Oryctolagus cuniculus: one gene and its partner. The protein of the gene in region 1 interacts with the protein of each later gene in a pairwise test. Links are inferred from orthologs where the notes say so. Each region holds a gene or a part of one and is shown in the gene's direction. Other genes may lie near its edges.

Region 1 (3,818 bases):
CGAGGCAGGTTCACCTGGCACCTGCCGTGCCCGTATCCTGTACTGAAGGGCCTGTTTGAGTCCTGGTTAATCCACTTCTGATACAGCTTCCTAAAATGTACCTGGGAAAACAGCAGAGGATAGCCTGAGTCCCTGGGCCCCTGCACCCACATGGGACCCAGGACAGAGTTCCTGGCTCCTGGTTTTGCCTGGCCCAGCACCGGCTATTGAGGCCATTTGGAGAGTGAAGCACCAGAAGAAAGCAACCTCTCTGTCTCTCCTCCTCCCTCTCTCTCTCTACCCCACTCACTCTCTGTCACTCTGCCTTTCAAGTAATTTTTTTTTTTTTGACAGGCAGAGTTAGAGAGAGAAAGAGAGAAAGGTCTTCCTTCCGTTGCTCTTCCCCCACCGCTGCCCAAAATGGCCGCTACGGCCGGCGCTGCGCCGATCCAAAGCCAGGAGCCAGGTGCTTCTCCTGGTCTCCCATGCGGATGCAGGGCCCAAGCACTTGGGCCATCCTCCATTGCCTTCCCGGGCTACAGCAGAGAGCTAGACTGGAAGAGGAGCAACCGGGACTAGAAGCCGGGGGACTAGAACCTAGTACTCCACAGGCGGAGGATTAGCCACGTGAGCCGTGGCGCCAGCCCACGCTTAAACTTTTAGTTCATAATCAGAATGAAGGTGGAAGAGACTTCCCTGAGTCACAGCTGGTACCAGAGCGCTGGGGAGACTTGGGGAGCAGCGTGTGTGGCTTCCCCAGTGCAGCTGGTACCAGAGCGCTGGGGAGACTTGGGGGGCAGCGTGTGTGCCTTCCCCAGTGCAGCTGGTACCAGAGCGCTGGGGAGACTTGGGGAGCGGCGTGTGTGCCTTCCCCAGTGCAGCTGGTCGGGCTGTGATGCTGGAGCCACAGAGGCCGGCCGCCTGCTGCCAGACCTGTCGGCTTCACTCAATGTTTTTTCAGAGGGTGGAGCAGCCTACAAGCCAGACTTTCACTTTGACACCTGGTAACTTTTTTTTTCCATTTTATTTGAAAGGCACATAAACAGTTGGGGAGAGATCGCCTGCCCACTGGTTTACTGGTTCACTCCCCAGATGCCCACAACTGCTAGGCCGAGCCAGGAGCTGGGGACTCCAGTCAGGTCTCCGACGTGGGTGTCAGAGACCCAAGTACATGAGCTGCCTCCCAGGGCCTACATTAGCCGGAAGCTGGAGCCCAGTGCTCTGGCCCCAGATGTGGGGGACCCACACAGCCTCCTCACTGCTGTACCAGGTGCCTGCCCCAGGGTTGCTCTCAGTGTTCCCAGGAAGGCAGGAAGGGCTGCCATGGCCCTGTGGTGAGGTGAGGCCCGAGCCAACAGAAAGTGGTCGTCTTCAGTACTCCCGCTGACTTTAACTTGCACCTTTTAAGAGCTGCTAACTCTCCATATGCTGCAACAGGCCCACTCCTGGGTACATACCCCAAATGCATAAACATGTATCAGAGGGATACCTGCAGCACTGTTCCCAATAGCCAAAACACAGAACAGGGTGTGCATCAGCAGATGAGTGGACAAAAGAAAATGTGGTATATATACGCAGTGGAATATTATGCAGCTATGAACAAGAATGAAATTCTACCATCTGCATCCAGATGTGGATACAACTGGAGGACATCATGTTGCATGAAGTAAGCTGGACACAGAAAGACAAATAGCATATGTTCTCCCTTCTATGTGGGAGTTAAAACCAGAAAAAAAATCAAAACACACACCGAAAAAAGAAGAAATGCCTGTGTCTATCAGTATTGCTGCAAATATAGTTTTGTCAAACTGTTTCATCCCTTGTCAAACCAGTGTTTAAGAATGTCATACTACTAAAATTTTAATAATCTGTGATCACTTTAAACACAAAATAGAGCTACCAACTCTAGAAAACAATGTTACATGCTACTTAATTTAAAGAGCTTGAATAGAAGTAGACGTGGCTAAGCAGCGTTTGAATACGCAGGGGAGTTTTAGCTCAGAAATAAGACTGGGGGCCAGTGCTGTGGAGTAGGAGGTTAACCATGTGGGTGCTGGCCCAAGTCCCAGTTGTTCCACTTCCAGTCCAGCTCCCTGCTAATGCACCTGGGAAGAAGTGGAGGATGGTCCAAGTTCTTGGGAGACCCAGAAGAAGCTCCTGCCTACTGGCTTTGGCCTGGCCTAGCCCTGGCCATTGCAGCCATCTGGAGAATGAACCAGCAGATAGAAGATAACTCTCTCATTTCTTTCACTTCTCTCCCTCCCTCTCTCCCCCTCTCCCCTCCCCCTCTCCCCCTCTCCCTCTCTCTGTTTCTCTCCCTCTCTCCCCCTCTCCCTCCCTCTCTCCCCCTCTCCCTCCCTCCCTCTCTCCCTCTCTCCCCTCTCCCTCTCTCTCTCTCTCCCTCTCTCCCCCTCTCCCTCCCTCCCTCTCTCCCCCTCTCCCCTCCCCCTCTCCCGCTCTCCCCCTCTCCCTCCCCCTCCCTCTCCCCCTCCCTCCCTCCCTCCCCCCCCCCCCTTCTCCCTCTCCCCTCTCTCCCCAGAGCCAGGATGCAGTTCCTGGCTCGTGGTTTCAGCCTGGCCCAGCCTTGACATTTGGGGAGTGAACCATGGAGGATCTCTATGTCTCTGTTGCTCTTCCTTTCAAATAAATAAATTAATCTTAAAAATTATATATATTATAGCAGGTTTTTGTGCTCCTTTCTGATAAGAAGTTTATTAATCAAGTGAGAAGGAAAAGGCAAAGCATACACGTAACGATGATGCTAATTATGCCGCGGGCCACAGGGTAGATCAGACAGACTGGTGGCCGCCAGAGGTGCAGGAAGGAGGCCAGTCTTTGTGGACATGCAAGGTCTGTGCTGGCTCCCAGGGTGCACACATGGGACTGCCACACTGATCCTGCACGCGTCACATCTGTCTGCTCCTGGTCTGGTGTCAGCCAGACGGTCATGACGAAGAGGCAGTCAGTGCCGGGAATGGGTGATGGCTGGGATGCACAGGCCTCGCCCCCAGGCCTTGCAGCCTCCCGGGAGTCCGAGCTGTTATAGAACACTTCCTAGCCTCCCTTGAAACGGCTGGCAAACCAGAGCTGAAGGGCTGTGTGGCGTCATGTTTTGCTTCTTATGTCCTTGTAGGTTTCTTGTTTTCATGTTCAAGATGGTTTTCATGTTAAAGATGGTTGAATACGGAGTGATTTTAAGTCCTGTGTATTTTCTTCACGAGTCTGGAACTAAAGCCATCGGCCTTTTGCGTGAATCCGCACCAGCAGGGTTGTTTCTGTTTTTTAGTACGTGCCGAGAGTCGTAACTTCCGCACAGCAGAAGGCAGGGAGGACGATCACGGCCCGGATCACGGGGAAGTGCGACTTCGCCTCCAAGAACAGAGTCAACAGCAGCTTGGCTATCATGGGTGTTTCTCCGCCCGTGAGCTCCGTGGTCGTGGAGAAGCACCACCCAGTCACAGTGGTAAGCCGCGGGGGGCGGCCACTCTTCTCCCTGACAGTTCAGATGGACGGTCTGGTGACATCTGGAGTCGGAGTGGCGTGTGCTCTGCTGTTGCGGTTAGTCTTTCTGCACTGGCGTACGGTGATCAGATCTGCTGTAATCCGTTTCCTCGGGTAGGAAATCAGTTTCAAAGACGTTTCTTCCAGACAGTATAAAATATCAGTTACGAAAGGAATCTAGTGTGCCGGTGACCAGAGGGTAAGACATGCCAGGGATTTTTTTACTTTTTTTTTTTAAGATTTATTTTTATTTTTGAAAGTCAGAGTTACAAAGAGAAAGGGAAGGAACAAAGAGGGGTGGGGGAGTACTTGGCCATCTCCACTGCTTTCCCAGGCAC
Region 2 (3,406 bases), on another chromosome or scaffold:
CAGGAGAGCTGCATGGGCCAGCTTCAGGCTATGAACCACCAAGGGAACACAGAACTACCTTAATGCCTTCCTAAGGGCAGCACCTCTAATGACCTAAAGACCTCTCAGTAGGCCCCACCTTTTAAAGGTCTCACCCCCTCCCCATACCTCCCCCTACCCCCACCCCACCAAGCCTCCAACACAGGAACTTTGAGGGAGAAACAGACAACTATAACACAACTATACCACACGCCATGGAAACAATATCTGCCCACAAATTTTAAAAACAGCTTGTAAAGCGCTTCCAGCATCGTTTAATCTTTTGGGGTTTTTTGGTTTGCTTTATGTTGATGGTTCAGAAGGTATTTCAGGATAGCATTGTTATGCATTTATTCTACAAATATTTGTTAATCCACCTATTACGTGACATTTAAGCACTGTTCTAGGTGCTGAGCATACAAAAACTCTTCCAAGTTTCCTCTGTTGTAACAGATTGAGTAGTGATAAATTCAGATTTTTTGGACAAAGAATTCTAACAAATTAAAGTCATCTTTTTAAAAAATATTGTTTAAAGACATATGCAACTATTCTGATGGGAATTCCTCTGTGGGCTTATTTGGTAACTTTTTTTCTTTTTTTTTTTTTTTTTCACCTGAAAAGCTTCCATTTTTCAATTGCTCCTCTGGTTTCCAGGAGGACCCCTTTGTTTCCAGGAGCCAATTCTGAGTCCTAATGTGCTCTGCATCATCTCCTGTTCTGTCCACTGTCAAGGGAAGACTCCCAGAGCATGCGGCTGAGCACAACCCTGATTGGATGTTAAACTGTAAGAGAGTAATGTGCTGCCAGAGTTTGAAAAAAAAAAAAACCTACCAGAAAACTGGAATACAGTATTACAACTCTCCCTCCGAATCAAAAGCCTAGTAAATGAAATTAGGACCATTATTCAAGTGCAATTATACGAAGTCAAATTGAAACACCAAAAATAAATCATACATTTGGATATTACATTTCATATTTGAGAACATGCCAGGAGTTTTATTATTGCTGAGTGTAATGTCAGGAGACAAACTTCTACAAATTGTATACATAACTTTTTCCATTTTATCTGCTTTCCATTTATGTCAAGTTGAACACATGGTATGACTTTTAATATTCTCTTTCCCTTCTCCTTCCCCATATTTAATGCCAAGTGAACAAACTTAATCTTGATTATCCTAAATTTGCCCTTCAGTAACCTCAAAACCAAGAATGTTTTTAAAATTAGTATGGAAAAGGAGAGAGAGGAAGAACTTCCAAATGAACCTGATGGGTTTGATGGATGCTAACCAATGGCCCGTAAAGAAGACCAGCGAGCGGTGAATTATGGAAGACAACGCGCTACAGGCAGTTCTGGCCAGCTCGGGAATCAACTCCTGGAAAGTCGGTTATAAACCCAGGGACTGTGGATGTTAACGTAAATAAGATCTCCCAGATGTGGAGGCCTTAGCCGGCAGGGGCTCCCTGCGCCGGAGCGGGGACAGAGCTCCGCTTTGAGGATGAACGCGGGGACATCCCGCGTCTCCTCGTGGGGGCGCCTGGGCGCAGGCGCAGTGGCAACGGCAGCGCTGGCGGCGTTAGCGTTAACAACTGCCGGGCCAGGATGGCGTCCAGCTTCAAGAAGCCGAACTCGGCTCCCGCCAGCCAGAGGAAGAAGTCGGGTCCGAAGCCCGAACTCACTGAAGATCAGAAGCAAGAAGTTCGAGAGGCGTTTGACCTCTTCGATGCCGATGGAAGTGGCACCATCGACGTGAAGGAGCTGAAGGTGGCCATGAGGGCGCTGGGCTTCGAACCCAGGAAGGAAGAGATCAAGAAAATGATCTCGGAGGTGGACAAGGAGGGCACGGGGAAGATCAGCTTCAACGACTTCCTGGCTGTGATGACTCAGAAGATGGCCGAGAAGGACACCAAAGAAGAAATCCTGAAGGCTTTCCGGCTCTTTGATGACGACGAGACGGGGAAGATCTCTTTCAAAAACCTCAAGCGCGTGGCCAACGAGCTGGGCGAGAACCTCACGGATGAGGAGCTGCAGGAAATGATCGACGAGGCTGATCGGGACGGGGACGGCGAGGTGAACGAGGAGGAGTTTCTGAAGATCATGAAAAAGACCAGCCTCTATTAAAGTCGCTGGCACGGGACGCCATTCGCCCGAGTTTTGTGAGACTGTCACTTTGAGGGCAGTGGCTGTCTCTAGCTCTTCTTTTTCCTCCTAATTTGTCTTGATCAATTTCCAAACCTCTAGCTCAATTACAGACTTTGAAAGATGCATGCAACATGAGTTTTGGTTTTTAATTCTCAAGAGCAGACCTGGAGTACATTAGGTTAAAGTGCATCCGTTATTTTCCTCGCGAGTGTGGACATCTATCAAACTAAAACCAGGACAGCTTCTTGGGACGAGCAGAAATAGGGTTCCCTTGTCACTTCTTTGGTGGTCTTAGATGATCTTGCTTCATATATGATTTCTTCAGTTGAAGCCATTATCCTAGCATAATCATTTAACTACTGATTTAAAGGAAACTGGAATGGCGATTTAAGAACTTACTGAGCTCAGGAAAGGTACCAAAGTATAGGCTTGCCTGTGGGTGGTAGTGAACTGTGCAATTTAGACTATTTTCTGGCTTCCTCACATATGTATGATTCTTTGTGTATAAATTATCTACTGTGAGCAGTGCAGGACCACTATGTGTACCTGGGCTATTGAATAAAATTTGATGAAGACGTTAAGCTAACAATTTTGAGTATTTACAAAAGTAAGATCTTCATTTAAGCAATCGTAAAAAATGTCAAATACATTTTAAGCTACTTATCTGTTCTTGAAAAGATCAATGAATGTTTTAGGCATTATAGCACTAGAACATAACTTAGCCATTTCATTACTGCTTAATTACAAGGCGCTATCCACCTACCTGTTCTTAGAACATCATAACTGGAGGTAATTGAGCCCCCCCCCCCCGACCCCTGATGTACTTTAGACATTAGAGTGTCTGAGATACAGATAGTTCTCTGGTTCTCTATTTTATACATTTTAGTAAATTCACTGTGATTTGCATGTGTGTAAATAATATTACTTGTTCTTTTATAAATTAACTCTTTCTTGCTTTGAAATAAAGATGCCTACTCTTAAATAATTGAAGTTAGAGAAAATTTAAATAATGTGACTGTGGGAAGATAATATAATCTGTTTGCCAAGATGGAAGCTTTCACTAAGGTTTTGGAAATAGGCAACAAAGTTATTCAAGGGGCTAGATATTTTGGTCACAACTAAATCTAAGTTAAAACTTCATGTAAAGTCCTATTGAGATAAATGCTCAAATTCTAGAAATTTTTTTTACTTGGTTTGCCAGCAGTTCTGCTCTTCAGAGGATAGTAGATCTAATCAGGAGAATGATGA

What was found.
Region 2: the proteins of POC5 (region 1) and CETN1 interact in binary tests that used the Homo sapiens proteins (3 or more experiments, as listed by UniProt). The link is inferred for Oryctolagus cuniculus from reciprocal best matches to the Homo sapiens genes POC5 and CETN1.

The regions. Positions count from the first base shown.
Region 1 is NC_091445.1:714,228-718,045, reverse strand, and holds part of POC5 (centrosomal protein POC5), read left to right. Parts: intron 1-3,265; coding exon 3,266-3,442; exon of another isoform or gene 3,443-3,818. UniProt on the Homo sapiens protein: Essential for the assembly of the distal half of centrioles, required for centriole elongation. Acts as a negative regulator of centriole elongation.
Region 2 is NC_091441.1:57,199,173-57,202,578, forward strand, and holds CETN1 (centrin-1), read left to right. Parts: upstream 1-1,557; 5' UTR 1,558-1,618; coding exon 1,619-2,137; 3' UTR 2,138-2,747; downstream 2,748-3,406. UniProt on the Homo sapiens protein: Plays a fundamental role in microtubule-organizing center structure and function. Plays a role in sperm cilia formation.